Linked DNA regions of Styela clava. The protein of the gene in region 1 purifies or fractionates together with the protein of each later gene. This does not show direct contact. Links are inferred from orthologs where the notes say so. Each region holds a gene or a part of one and is shown on either strand. Other genes may lie near its edges.

Region 1 (8,014 bases):
CTGCATAATATTGTGTTTGGATCCACTTCTGTTTTTACTGCGTTAGGTGTGATGTGTTTTGATCCACTTCTGTTTTACTGCGTTAAGTGTGATGTGTTTTGATTCACTCCTGATTTACTGTGTTAAGAGTTGAGTGTGTCTCAATTTTATCTGTTTTCGGAATTTGGATTGTGCATCTTCCTATAATATACAACAACGATTAGCATCAACACTGTGTGCTTATTATCGTCTGAAGGAGTCCAGATTGGAGTCACATTCCATAACGCGTGTCAAAACAATAACGCGGGAATAGAACTTAAATATATAGGGTGATAGTCAATATCTCATCATCAGCATCTCATCTCTTTCTCCCTTTACTACAGGTTCGGTACCGGTACTGGTAGCTCAGTACGTAAGTACGATACTGGTACTGGTGCCGGTACCGGTGTCTTACCACAAGGAAATTACCGTAACTTATTCTTTCACGGTCCTACCAGTGCAGTAATGCAAGCGTTGTAGCACTTGTAGCCTACTATATTTGTTTATTTTGATGAGAGTCTACTGGAAACAACATAAAATTTGAAAGGGAAGAATTGTTCTGTGATCAATTATCTGTCCTAAAGTGTAAACAACATAAAATTTGCAAGGGAACAACTGTTCTGTGATCAATTACCGTATATGGCCTACAGTGTACAGGTAAGATGCTGGCTGACTGCTAACCGGTACTGGTAGCTCAGTACGTAAGTACGATACTGGTACTGGTGCCGGTACCGGTGTCTTACCACAATGAAATTACCGTAACTTAATCTTTCACGGTCCTACCAGTGCAGTAATGCAAGCGTTGTAGCACTTGTAGCCTACTATATTTGTTTATTTTGATGAGAGTCTACTGGAAACAACATAAAATTTGAAAGGGAAGAATTGTTCTGTGATCAATTATCTGTCCTAAAGTGTAAACAACATAAAATTTGCGAGGGAACTCTGTTCTGTGATCAATTACCGTATATGGCCTACAGTGTACAGGTAAGATGCTGCCTGACTGCTAACTCAGTACCGCTTGACACGTTTTTAAAAAGTCGCTTTTCTCTTCGAATACTGGACCAATTGCTTTGAAATTTTTAGTGGTTAAAGATAAAAATTTTCTCCAGAAGGCTATTACTTTTTTTTTCGCTATGACGTCATCAAATTAATGTGACTCTACGTGTCCATATATTTGAGCATAGCTCTCTTGTTTTCTTTCGTCATTATCATTAAAAAATCGCTTTTCTCTTCGAATACTGGACCAATTGCTTTGAAATTTTCAGTGGTTAAAGATAAAATTTTTCTCCAGAAGGCTATTACTTTTTTTTTCGCTATGACGTCACCAAAATCATTGCCATTGGGTGGCGCTACGTGTCCATATATTTGAGCATAGCTCTCTTGTTTTCTGAACAGAGTTTACCGAAAATAAATAATTTTTTCAGCATTTCAAAGTAAAACCAGGCAGAGATGGAGGAAGAACAGTTGGCCCTTTGCCTTTATTCTTTAAACCTACTTGTTTGCCTATAGAAAAATCAAAAACATTTGATTTGCTGTTACATCAACTCATACTATTATAATTATTTACATTTTTGTTTATCTTTCACTTGTCTTTTTATATACTACTTTGACATCCCTCTGCAAGCAAAAAATTGTTGATCATTATGCTGAAATAATGCTTGTTAGGTCCTATTAACTATTTTTCCCCCTCCTAATCTAGACAAATCAAAGCAGATCATGTTTGTTACATCTTCAATGCGTACCTATGCCATGAAATGAAGCATTTCTGCTAATTCATCACATATGCGTATAAATTATTTAAATTCTTTCAGTAACCTTTGGAATCTCTTCAGATTTTGAAATCCCGCTCCACATAAATAAATAAAAATGATTTACTCTAGCATTCCCCTCCCCAATTTTTTTCTTCTATTTTGAGAATATAATTTAAAATTCTAGAATGTTCCTCCCCAATATTTTAGTCATCTGAAACTGTGGATCTTAAACATAATAGCTTGAAGGGGGGGAGTTGACTTTGATGACCATCCGGTCGTATCACTCCCTCCTGTCTATACCAAACTAATTTATTTCTTATTGTTATTTTTTTTTTTTATTATTATTACGATGACTGTTATTTTTGGTTGACGAAAAAATAAATCTCTCTCTCTCTCTAATGAACTTAACAGTCAACAACCCAGGCCGACGGTTAACGAAAATGCCACTACTTCGCCCTAGTTAGTCCGTATTAGTATTTGTCTACAGTTAGTCTACTTTAGGCCGACAATGACGCGATATAGAACGGTCAGTTGGGCGACAATTTCACGATTCTTAGATCGTCATCGTAATTAAATTAAGATTCCTTTTCCACGGAACACTTCGAAGACGCTCGCGGAACACAGGTTGGGAAACGCTGCTGTACAGTATTACGCAACGACTAACATACCATACCACATAACATGGTATTACGGTACAAATTCACGCTGTATCCAAAGGCACAACCTATCGTCGCTTTCTCGCGAGAAAAGAATAAATACAGAACAAAATTGTTGCTTAATCTTTAGCACTAGTGACTAAACCCTAACACGGAATAAAGTGCTGTACAGATAATGGTAGTACAATCATTGAGGTACGCAATCTGTGTTGCACAAAAATGCTAGCATGTGACATATCTCTGAAAAATAGGATTTCGTGGATGCGCAATATCTGAATGCTCGAGTATTTGTAGCAGGATTCACTGTATTCGAAAATCCCTGATATTTGAGCACTTTTTAACATTTCTCCCTGACGCAAATTTGACCACTAAAATCCCGGACATGCCAGGGAAAAATAGGGCAATTGGCAACCCTAGTACTGTATAGTGTAGCGCAGGGCTACTCAACTATTTCATCGAAGATCTGCATACAATACTTGAAAATTATTTGGGTCCGGTCTTTCCAAAAATTATATTTCGGCATCCTTATTCGCACACTTCCTCGACCGGCTAATGATTATTATCTCATCAAGATTGTTTATTATGGTGTTATAGTTCTTTACATATAATATATATTCAAAACTATAAAAGTCAATTTATAAAAAGAAACTTGAAAAGTGGGGCTAATGATCCAGAATAAATAATTAGGGGCGGTCCGAATCAAATACTCGAAAGGTCCGGATTCGGTCCAGTGAACGCGTGGTTTTGTTTGATTCGTTGTTTTCCGCTAACATTGTTACCGAATATTTGGCATATGCAAAATCAATACCAATTTTTACTTCCATTCATGATTGTTTTTAGTTGACGAATCAATAAATTTATCACTCGAGGATCCGGGAGACCTTGATTTAAGTCCCACTCAATTTCGAAAACTGGTCTAAACTCAACCTATTTATTATTGCTTAATTAATTGTAATTAATGCTATACATTCATTTGATAAGTCACAACAAGAATATTTTTATTGCCTACCATGACTAATATTGCTGAGCTGCGCCTTTTTCGATAACGACCATGAACACGTATATTTAATTTAGTAATATACGGTCTCTTTTTCTGCAATTTAGTGTCTCCGCAGCACTGCCTGCGGGTCTCATGCTGCAAGTCAAGCACGTGGGAGCGCCGTGGCTTTCGGAATTTTTTCGATCGGCTGTTTCGTAACTGCATGCGTGTTTGTCAGAACGCACTTGAAGGAATTTGGGACGACTGCGGATAATGGTATAATAATGTTTTTTACTTAGGCTATGATTGATATAGAAGTAGCAACGGTTATGCGACGTTAACAAAATTGATGAGGAATGCTACCGTAACCTACCTCAGAAAATAAATAAATAATTACGGTAAGCTCGATGTCGGCCATTGCGCGGTCGTTTCTCTGTCAGTCTGTTGTATTTATATGACAACTACAGTGCCCTAGTTTTCATTGTATATTGTTGATAATTAGGCGTATCTGTTGTTTTCTACTTCTGTCATTTGTGGTTTCTTGAATAATCGCATGAGTGTTTGAGAAAGCGTTTTTTTGATTGTTTTATGTATTAAGAAAAATTAAAAGACATGTAACATGTCAGAAAAAAATAAAAGGTTAAATATGGATTAAAAATCATGATTTGCCTCCGGCTGACAGGCATTGAGTGGTTGTAGACTGTAGTACAGTTGGCATGAATCTCAGAATCTAATATAGGCTATCACATAATTCCACAGCATTTGCTTATTTTGTCCGTTGACGTAGATTACTTGAATTTTCGTTTTTATTTTTCCAATTATTTGATGTTGGTCCCATCAACGTAAGTTACGCCCTGGGGTAATTTTTGGGCATCTTCAGTAAAGTCCCATCAACGTAAGTTACGCTCTGGAGTAATTTTTGGGCATCTTCAGTAAATCTGCCTTCATCGGCCATTGATAACGAATTGTTGTTTGTTTTAAATTTTGGCAATTCATCCAAACAATTTCAGGATTGAATGGATGTTTTCCACAATTTTGAGCCAGATATCAATTTTTTTCCACATATTTATCTGCATTTATATACAGGAATTTCAGAAGCGGAGAAAAGTGCTTTTTGTCAATCCTTTTATTTGAGTTTCTATTCTTCACTGCGAAATGATTTTCAGCAATTAGTTTTCAAAAGTGAAAACGAAAAGTACAATGATTGTAAAATGTCGTAAAATTTTGACTTTTAATAACAATATATACATATGAATTTCATATTTCTGTCCTTATTATCTGTTCTTAAAAACGAATGATCATTTATAATAAACACGTTTTTCATCTAATTCAATATCCTATGCTTTTGTTTAACTGTTGTATTAGAGACATTGCCTAGGACTTGCAATCTAGGAATTTATTAATAATAATAAATTTATCTGATTGTATTAGATGTATTAATCTGTTGTGTATTATGGCCAGATGCGCCAATATTTATTGAGTTTATGATGTCTTTCCCTTCAACAGATGATGTACTGATGTTTTTCCGTTCAACCCCACTTAAGAGTTTAAATATGTTATAATTTTTAAGTTGGATGACTCATTCCAATCAATTAAACTTGTCCTTCCGAGAATAAAGGCCTTGAGAATTTTATTTACCTGATCTTATGATTCTGAATTTTAGAAAACTTAACTAACAGTCCAATAACTAAAAGGTACAAAAGCACCTATATTACTTAACATCAGAATTTGTAAATCACAATGGTCCAGATGAAATCCAAAGTGAGTATTCTTCATTGTCTAAGTATTGTATTCTATTTTTCTTAGGATTTTGGAATTATAATTCTATCAATTTTATATAAATCTTGTTCAGTTTGTTTAAAAGTATTTGTTGGGTAAAACTGATGATTCAGATTCATGGCTTGCTATTCCTAAAGATCTAATCACAAACAAGTTTTGAAAGCTCATTAAAAATACTTGTCGTATTTATTTGTCTTAGTATAACATTGTTATTATTTGTCATATATATGTATCATATAGAATCCTCAATTTTTGTTTAACTTTAATTTTTATTATCAAAATCATTTAATAGGGAAAAGACAAGAAAACAAAAAATGCAAAAGCAAAGAAACAGGTAAAACCTGATCCACCACCGAAAGAAGAAAGTAGTGAAGAGGAGGAAAGTGAGGAGGAAGAGGAAGAAGTCAAGGTATAGATTTTCAGAAATATGACAGATTCAGTTTTGTCCAGTATTACTCGTATTTTGATTACTTGCCTCAGGGCTGGAGTCGAGAATGGAAGCATGGAGCTGTGGCATTTTGGTGGAGTTTGAGCCAAGCTCATCATATCAGATGGTGCCGTAGCTACCAGAAATTTTAGTGACTCCACTTCCTCACCATCTGAGTAGTTTTCCAATACTTCATACATATAAACTAAATTTTATGTTCAATTTTATATATTTAAAAGTTTAATTTTGAAATCCTTATGTAATATTTTTAAGTCCCACTGCATTTGGGCTGATGTTTAATGGTAGTGGTAACACCTAAAAGCGTCAATGGGCATTGGGCCGAAGCTGAAGCCCCTGTGATTTCGAACCACCTCCAAAGCCTCTGTGATTTCGAATCACCTCCCAATCCCTGACTTGCCTATTGAGCATTTTTAATAGCGACTCCTTGTTTTTTACTGAGATTATTAAGCCCACTGGCTATACCTTGCTTATAAGCCTTGTTTTGCGTACCACTGCTTTGCTACTAAAAGTATTCAACATCTGGATGTAATATTATACTTGGGAAAATTCCTGTTTTTTCAACACATGATATTCTGGTTCTCCCGTAGTAAGTGTATCAGGTTAGGGTTAGGCCATAATTTAATTCCGATTTTTCTTATTTTTGTTATATTACGTGTTCGGGGACTGTCCGTGTTAGCCAAGTGAATATAACCCCTGCCCATAGGTTTCAGTCCCTTTACACAACTTGATTTAAAGTAGGCGAACAAAATTATTTACCTCCACATTGGTACACACACTTCTGGAGTGCCAATATTCCAAATGCTTATTGACTGCTGGTGAGTCTTATTCAGGATGCAGGTGTGAAACAGATATGAAAAACCTATCTTCCATTTTTTATTTTCATTAGTGTTATTGTCCAAGCCTTACTAAATCTGTGATGTAAGGGTGTTTCATTTCAGCTGGCATAACAATTCAACCATATCAAATTTCAGGTGCAAAAAACACAAAAGAAGAAAACAACAAAAGCGGCAAAGAAACAAGAGGAAGAAGACAGTGATGACGACGACGATGATGATGATGACGATAGTGATGAGGAGGAGGAAGTCAAGGTAATAAATTCGCCAGCAAAAATAAGATTGTTATGTTGTATGACAGGACGAAAATGTGTGATAAATAATACAGTATACATATAAATACTATAGCTATGGTAATGTAGATAATGTTTTGACACATATAATGCCCTTGCCTACACAACAATATTGGTGCTTCTGTAGTATGCGAACCAAGATGGCGGACACCGGAATGTAGTATGTGTACCAGGTTCGGGTTAGGCCATAATTTTATTTCAATTTTCCTTATTTTAGTTTTATTACGAGTTCAGGGACAGCCAAGTGACTCCCGTAGCATTTGTACCTGAAATTATGGCATAACCCTAATCTGGTATACATACTACGTTCCCGTGTCCGCCATCTTTGTACGCATACTGTAGGAGTACCAAAATATTTTGCAAATATTGGAATCTAGTTTGGCAGGTTCAAATACTTATGCTCTGTAAAGTGATATCTTGTGAATGTTCATTGTTGTAGAAAACCAAATTATCAAATGAGAATAAAAACAGTCAAAGTAACTGCTCAAGTACCTTTTAAATACTTATTTAGGTGCCATGATAACCAAAATTTTTTTCAATGCAGAAAGGAACAAACGGCAAAGTAAAAAATGCAGCAAAAGCTGATGACGAAGAGGAAGACAGTGATGATGATGACGACGATGATGATGATGACAGTGAGGAAGAGGTAATGAATGAAAAACTTACATAAAACATATATTTTTCGGATTTCCTCGTGAATTCATGTAACTAGGGCTTGGTCTAGTGCCATTGCAATCTATCGTTATATTAATTGAATCCAAACTGGTTCCATATACTTCAACCTCATTATTCTTTATATGTTGAAACATATATATGCCTATATATATATATATATATTTAAAACTTGAGTTGTCAACTTGAAATCAATTTTTGACCACAAAATTTCCATCATAAGATGGTTTCCGAAAAATTTCAAGGCTAGAAATTCGAAGTTTTTTTTTCGAGTTCGTCATGACGCTTTGATTTTCATCAACAGACGAAGAAAGATAAGAAAGCTGCTGGAGATGCAAAGAAAGAGGAAGAAGAAGACAGCGATGACGATGATGATGATGACGACGACGATGATGAGGAAGACTCTAAGGTTGGAAACTCAATTCTCTTACTCAAATTTGTATCTTAGTATGGATTTAAAATGCTGCGAGGAGATTTAGGTTACCATACCATCACAATGTTTTACAGATGTAAAATTTTTGTGTACTCAGAACATTGGGGATATTCCACAATAAACTCTAAACTTGAATTCGAAAAAAATATTTG
Region 2 (7,965 bases), on another chromosome or scaffold:
TCTTGTTGTTCTTATTCTTGTTTTTTGACACGTTATGAAAAAGTCGCTTTTCTCTTTCATTACCGGACCAATTTCTTTGAAATTTTCAGTGGTTGAGGATGGAATTTTTCTCCAGAAGGCTATTACTTTTATTTATCTCTAAATTTTGTATGAATTCTATAAAATCTGTTATTTCATACAAAATTTAAGTGTATAATATATTATGGGAACACTGTTTTTAACCTGCCGAGCGTGACGGCGCATTCTGAAAATTCTTGCTACTCAAAACTCGGAAGTTTTATGAGGTTACCGGTGATACTAAAGGTACGGTGAACCGTACCGTACTGCTTCGCTTGGTGTCAATATATTTGTACACTGTGGTATCTGCTGTTATAATACCATGATAAATCGAATAAGTGGGTTTTTTCAATTCATGTTGAAACGAAATCGCCACAGGATCTGCAAATTTCGGTCTGGTCTATCTGTCTCGCAAAGGAGAAGCGACTGACATGACAAGTATACTGGTAAGCATACTTATGTAAGTAAGCTGTCCGTCAGCCCTAAAAGGCTATGACAGTCACTGTACCAAAATTTGTACTCCGATTCAGGTGTTGTTAAATTGACGCATATTATTTTGTAACGTTTTTTATGTGAAATGTTTGACTGTGGTTCGGTACCTATCCGGTAATACATAATTAACTCATATCACGAGATATTTTAATTATTGTTTCAATATAATCAAGAAGATTGGATCATTGTCACAGGACCGAAAAAAAACTATGACTGTTCCTGTACCGTCACGGTATCCCGATACAGGTACTGTTAAGTCACCGCATAGGATTTTTGGGTAATTGTTTTGCGTGTCCATATATTTGAGCATTGATCTTCTGTATTAGTTAAGTTATACTAAGCCGGTGTTAAAAAGTATAAGTAAGTTATTAAACACTTGTATATCCATACCATGAATATAGGACATGAGAAGAGGCCTTGAAAACGACCAGAAAATTAGTTTTGTAGCGCACACCTGGTAATTAAATAAATAAAGTTTTGTATGAAAATGAACATACTGAACGCATTCCAGCTTGCTCCACAATCCTGATGCAAAATTGAACATAAGGGGATTCCCAGATAATCAATGACCATAGGTTTACAGCAACACAGCATAGGAGCTATGCAATTCAAGAACCCTGCTGCACACTAACACAAATGTATTTCTGTAACGTTTTGTCTAACAAAATCAGACTTCCTCAGACAGCAGTTTACAACAAAGAACAGCATAAGAAGTTGCATTTATTTTATAGTTAAGCTATCAAACGTATTCATTTTTAAGCAATAAAGTCACAAATTAACATCGTGAGCACAAAAACACAAATAAATCGGTTATTACTCAGAGAAATCTACCGGAAAAGTCAAGAAAATCAAATGAATACAGTATGTACATAACATAGTGAACATCAATATTACAATTAGTTTTTTTTTTCAGTTTGGTGGTTGTGCATTTGAAACAAAGGCGATATTATTTATAGAAACAGGACCTACGACACTAACAGATATCTGAAGAAAAAAAATAATGAAAAATATTTATTAACTTCAATATCTAATTCACTTTCCTCTGAATTGCTTCCGAAATCCTCATTCTCGAAAATCGACTTTCCTCTATAAATGTACTGTGGTTTTTGCAGTCAATGCAAAAATCTGTGCAATTTAGGTTGTTTTTGGCACACATGAATAAATTATTTTGACATCAATTTTTCTTACCCTTGCAATTTGCCATCTCAAGAATCGATTTGGGGGCTGGAAGTAGATCCATCAATTCTAGGCAACAATGATGAAGTCCTGCCTGGTACTTTGCCCTCAGGACATGCTTCTTCAGTGAATCATTGTTGGGAGGAAAAGTATAATCCATATTTTTGCCAATTTTCAAAAGACTTGGTATCATTTACATTTTTCATATTCTCTTCTTACAGTGAACAAACAAATTACTCATCTTTATGTATTAATGACTCGTCTATCTCATAGGATCTTCATAGTTGAGGAAAACATGAATTGAAAAACTCAATGAAGTTCTCCAACATCAGTTTGATGGGCAGTTTCAATTGCAGAAATGTGCCAAAGTTTTCAATATGAATAGCCCATCTAAGCTGTTTGCAACTGTCATCTTCTCATATACCTTTACGCTTTTCTTCAAGACTTCTTGTTCGGTTCATTTTATTCTTACAGGTATAGCGCTGATAGCAGCCCGGATTAGAGCCTGCGTTAGGTTGGATTGGTGGAACATTGCCGTTTTCGTTTGTTGTACAGTATCTAAAATGAGGAAGAAAATCATATTTGGAACAGCATGTAAAAATACCGCTAAATACTGACTGATACTTTTCATACATAATGCATTTTATCTGATGCACTACAGTCCTGCAGTGTTTGCATACTAGACTACATCTACACTGAATCTCGATATATCACAGTCTGAAATGCCTAATAGACTATATTTTAAAACATCTACTGTCTGTCTACAACTTGATTTCACACCTCTCAATCGCTTCTAATGCTACTTTTCGTTCAACTCCGGCATAACTTATCATTGCTTCCCAGGTTCTTGTCGACTCGAATGAATTTAGACAAACTGACATCAGTAAAATTGATTATTTTCCCGTCCTTCACACAAACGCGCATTACAGAAACAGCGCCTTTTCCGTAAAACGTGCAACTTTCGGAAATGGAAACAAGTCATTATTTGTTACTAACTTTCTAGGGAACTTCCTAAAATCAGTTTCAGGTAGTTCCCTTATGTGCGCTGCGAAACTGAAAGATAAACGGCCTCTTCTCGCTATTAGTTGATAGCGGACTTGCTTTGTGTTTCTAATCAATACTTTTTAAACTCTAAAAAATTATACCAAGTCTTGTAGATCAATTGATATTGATACAGTCCCAATGCCGAGATAAATACTTTCTCTAAATAAACTAATGTTGTCTCATGGATGAATAAATAATGTATGTAGCTTGGAATTTTGTGATTGAAAGTTAAACCTTCTTACCGAGCTTGTCCATTTGTTTATTGAGTGTATACTTCAGTAGTATAAATCACTGCTGATATTATTTTTATATAATGTACTCTTCTTTGACTTTTGAATATGTCTCTCGAGGAAAATTTTTGAGTTGTCGTAGGCTACTCAGTTGGCTGTGAGGCCTAGCCTTGTTTGCAAGAACTTTAGTTATGTGCCATTTACTTTCGCGTACCGGTAGTTATTATCCCGATCGTTGTCCATCGGTAGTTGCTGCACCATTATTTACAGATCTCCGCGAGATGGCGTGCATGATTACAAAATGGCGGCGCCCATATCCCTTTCGTGCTTCTGCAAGAAACAACCGTAGCAGAAGTGGCTAAACTTGATGGATGCGGTATTTGGTTATCATATAACTGTATAACTGTAGTCATATAGCTGTATAATGTCAATTTTATGGGAGTAATGCAGGGATGTGGCAGAGCGTAATGCAAATGAGATCCAGGCTTAGGTTTCCAGCCGACTACCGGTACTGCTGTACTGTACTACAAGTCGGGAGGCGAACAACTGTTAGTTACTGTACACGGACAACTCGACTACAAGAGAGGTCTGGTGAATTGCAGAATTGTCCGTATTTTCGCATTTTCTACGGCGAAGTTTTACAGTTTAAAGACTACCGGTATAGGCAGATAGGAGTGTAATTTCGATCTTTTCAAGGCTCCAACGTCGAGAAAAACACATTAATATTCTCTAGAAGGGATTTGGCTCAGTGTTAACTTTTGCTCATGTCAGCATGTTGTATAAATACAGTCTACAGACGAAACTGGGGCTGTCTGTTGTAACACTAGCGAAGACTGCTGACGTTATAGGACTGTGTGCGTGTAAATTTTTGAATTTTATTGATATTGGATGTTTTGAATGCGTATTTTCAAACATTTAAACCTTTATACATGACTGTAACACATATATATATATTTACGAATGTGAGCTTCGTAGCCTGTACTTGATACATTCCCAGTTGTGCTTCTTGATCTTTTGTAGAAAGCCCCCTTCACTAATGCAAAAAATGTGAGATTTGAGAAAAAAACGCCATGCTTTAAGTAAAAAAATTATCAATTATCCAGTTAGGGTTCGAGTAAGGAATGATTTGCAAATTTGAATTTCCGCGTACGGCACACTATCCAAATTCCAAGAATGTCCAGTCATTTGGTTCAATAAAACAAACACTCCAGGTGTCTCACAAACGAGGGTCGTCTGGCACAACGGCAGATACGTCATATTGCACCATGCTTGTCTTGATAATAATCTAAATGAATCGCAGCCGTCACGTGACCAAAATTGCAGTTTTTTGTTCATAACTCTCAAATGCCACTATAGAAAAAATTTTCCTTTGGTAAATCGCATTATTTTTCCCGAGGAATTCAATGATGACGATTTTAGATTGCACTTTTTTGCGCAACTTCAATTTACTGTAGTTTTACCGATATTGAGGGACAACCATGTTCAGACGTTCCCCGAAGGAGGGTCGTCTAATCATCTGTAAAATGGGTATCCCGAAACGACACAATGTTGCTCGATCTGTATAGTGTGCCGTACGGTTCCCAGCGCAATCTGTATTCCTAACCCTAACTGGATAATTACTAATTTTTTTTTAAAACGTGGTGGGGGATGGTTTTTTTGATGAGTGCTTTTTACTAAAGATCTATAATTCTGTGTCACAGTCAAAGTTGCTTTGCAGACCTCACTTCGTCTTTAGGAACCAATGTTCTGAGCGCTTGGAATACACTCACCAACGCATCTCTGATTACTCTGCATGGGTTTGCGAGTTTGAGTCCTGTGGAAATAACTATGTGTGAGAGAATCAAGTTCATGCATTTGGAACAAATTATTGGCTAACTAATTCCTTACACGACCTGAACCTGACGAGAGGCCGTGGTTCACCATATGATTAAGCCATCTTATCACAACTTATTATACGTTCCGTTTATTATCAGGTTGTTTAAAATAAATCGTGTGATTACTTTTCATCTCTTCAAATTCATATAAATACTGAAATAAGATGTCAGAAGAGGAAAATTATCCATCAAGTGAGGAAGAAAGTGAAGAAGATGAATTGCATCATCCAAGATTGGCAGAAGATGATTCTGATGATTCAGACAGAGAGGTGAATATATCTAATAAGTTTTTTAATTAAAATATGTCGCAAAAGACTGAAATTTATAATTCGATAATTACGATCATATTATTAATTACGATTGTATTATGACAAATAATATGCCATTGTGATGTCGAAATCTGTTGGACTTATATTATAACAATCAAATCCATTTTATATTTACATTTCTAGTTACAAGTTGCCTACAAAAGTGGTTTGCTTAAACCAGGCTTATATTCAGAAGCGAAACCTGAGCGGCCAGCTGTCAATAATGTGGTAAGTTAACGAATTCAGTATTAAATTTTGACATCAGCAATGTTTTCATTTGATTGAAATGACTAAATTTTCCAATAATTCTGGAGTTATTACTTTTATTCTAGGATGGGATTCTGGAGAAATTAGAAGAAATTGAACAGAAAGATATGGATTGGTTAGAGAGGCTTGATATAACAGTAGAAAGAAGATCAAGTATGTGCTTAGCGCTAAACTATTGTATCCTACAAACTTTTTCGAAACTGGGATTCTAGGAATACCCAATTCGTCACTGCTAAAAAGTATTAATTAAAATGTTTTGGCTCTTGCTTTAAGAACTACAGATCTATTGATAATGATAATTTGAAATATTACTACCAAAATGGCAAAAGATAGTCCCAATACAGATGAAATTTCCTATACTCTTCATTGCTTTGCTGCACCTCCACTCATTTATTATTGTACTCATTAACAGTGTTAAGCAATATTGGTGAAGTCAAAATATGGTATATTTATTTGTACCAAGATCAACAATATAACAACAGCTTGTTAAACTTTCTAGTTATGTATTGCCAATATTCATTCCTTGTTGCTCAGTGGTGTGGTGCATCGTTGACCCCTGCACCTCTGATTACCCTACGTGGGTTTTCATTTTTTAATTCTGTGAGGATTAATTATGTGCAAAAGAATTGCTGGACTCCTCACCGCCATAGGGGGTTAGCGTAACTGCTTGGTTGGTTATGGCTTCCTCTGCCATCAAGTCGATGCATCTGAACGAATAACTGATCTCATACAGGACACGGCCGTGGTATGCCATATGATTACGCCGTCTTATCACCATCTCTCATCCCCAGAAATCCAAGATAAATATGTAAATCCTGCATTTATTACAGAAACTGATGAAATGTTTGAAGAGGGATTAAGTGCTGCTGAAGCTCAGGCACAGGCACAAAGCAGACTATTTACTGTTCACAATGACTTTAAACGGGAACTCATGTTTCTAACACAAGCAAAAGATGCTGTATTAAAGGCAATTCCTCTACTGAAAATTGCTAATATTTCCACTGTAAGACCAGAGGATTATTTTGCTGAGATGGCTAAAAAAGATGATCACATGAAAAAGGTACAGCATTGTGATATGTACTTTTTGCTTTTGTGCATTTGACACATGGGAAAAATACTTTTTAAAAAGAAATTTTCATCCCAAAAATATTAGCACACTTACAAGATAATCGTATCTTTTCAGCTTTTTGACATATTTAGACTACTTGACTGTCAAATTAAATTGTGATTGATGGCCTGTTAATAATGTTACCATTTGTCATGTAGTGATATTTTTTACATCCAGGTTCGTCAAAAACTTCTGAGTTTACAACGACGTAAAGAATCTGCAGAAAAATATAGAAATCAACTGAAGTTAAAGAAATATGGAAAGAAAGTGCAGCAAGCTGTTGAACTAGAGCGAAAGAAAAAGAAAAGGGAAATTTTAGACAGTGTGAAAAAATTTCGAAAAGGTTTGAAATAAACAATGTTATAAAAAGGAATATGTGCATATGAATAACCTAATTCCAGCCAGAGTTCTCTTTCAGTATTTGCTCACAAATTTCCATGTTGCTTTTTTAATATTCAATGGCATGGATTATTTTGTTGCATTGCAACAAATTTTAATGAAAAAACTGACTTCTAGGCATTATTCTTAATTTTGTTATCATTGAAAACTTGGAATCACAAGCATATAATTGTAGTCTGGTTCATTCCATTCCCGTTAAGTAGATCAGGACTACTCAACTATTTTCATCGAAGATCCGCATACAAAACTTCAAAATCATTTGGGTCTGGTCTTTCCAGAAATTATATTCGGCATCCTTATTCGCACACTAATGATTATTAGCTAATCAAGATTGTTTATTATGGTGTTATAGTTCTTTACATATATATTCAAAACTATAAAAGTCATTTCATAAAAGGGAACTTCAAAAGTGGGGCTAATGATGCAAAATAAAGAATTAGGTGCGGCTTGAATCAAATACTCGAAAGGTTCGGACTGCGGTCTGCCAGTTGAGTAGCCTTAAAGTGGACTATATTATATTGTAAGGCCCATGTTATGACATGACGCACTAATAACATATTGTCACTTGAGCTTTTTTGAGAAATACTTGTGGCCATCACCCAATGCTTAGCTATATTAAACTATTTTCAGGGAAAACAGACAGCATGGATTTTCTGGATGATGAGAGGGAAGTAAAACCTGGCAAGAAATCTCAACTACAAAAAGTCGAACAACAAAGGTAAGGTATCTAATATCTATATGACATGATAAAGAAGAAGTATAAGTATTTTTATAAATATGAATCCTATTTTTTTCACAAAATTCAGTTTTATTTCACAGGCTGTTTAGGAGGCCATGATTTTCATTCATGATTGTTTTCACGGTAATCTTTGTTACCTGGATGCTAAGTCCAATTGTCATTTTCCTGTGTGAATTCCTCCAGGCTTTGGTATAAATGAAATTGCGGTGCTTGATGTTCAAAATACAGGGTTTGTTGAATTTTGCTTATAAAATTTAAAGATAATGTTGTT

Evidence for each region. The genes of interacting proteins can lie anywhere in the genome.
Region 2: the proteins of nucleolin-like (region 1) and putative rRNA-processing protein EBP2 purify together in Homo sapiens (affinity purification with mass spectrometry; 3 studies listed by BioGRID and IntAct, with this or other methods). This does not show direct contact. The link is inferred for Styela clava from reciprocal best matches to the Homo sapiens genes NCL and EBNA1BP2.

Annotation. Positions count from the first base shown.
Region 1 is NC_135256.1:11,322,731-11,330,744, reverse strand, and holds the start of nucleolin-like, read left to right. Parts: upstream 1-4,999; 5' UTR 5,000-5,144; coding exon 5,145-5,165; intron 5,166-5,475; coding exon 5,476-5,592; intron 5,593-6,602; coding exon 6,603-6,719; intron 6,720-7,301; coding exon 7,302-7,403; intron 7,404-7,733; coding exon 7,734-7,838; intron 7,839-8,014. Other genes in the region: uncharacterized protein LOC144425124, read left to right, coding at 658-675, 3,530-3,680, 4,491-4,624. UniProt on the Homo sapiens protein: Nucleolin is the major nucleolar protein of growing eukaryotic cells. It is found associated with intranucleolar chromatin and pre-ribosomal particles. It induces chromatin decondensation by binding to histone H1.
Region 2 is NC_135259.1:3,406,638-3,414,602, reverse strand, and holds the start of putative rRNA-processing protein EBP2, read left to right. Parts: upstream 1-4,948; 5' UTR 4,949-5,037; coding exon 5,038-5,142; intron 5,143-5,325; coding exon 5,326-5,409; intron 5,410-5,513; coding exon 5,514-5,601; intron 5,602-6,278; coding exon 6,279-6,508; intron 6,509-6,733; coding exon 6,734-6,899; intron 6,900-7,585; coding exon 7,586-7,673; intron 7,674-7,965. UniProt on the Homo sapiens protein: Required for the processing of the 27S pre-rRNA.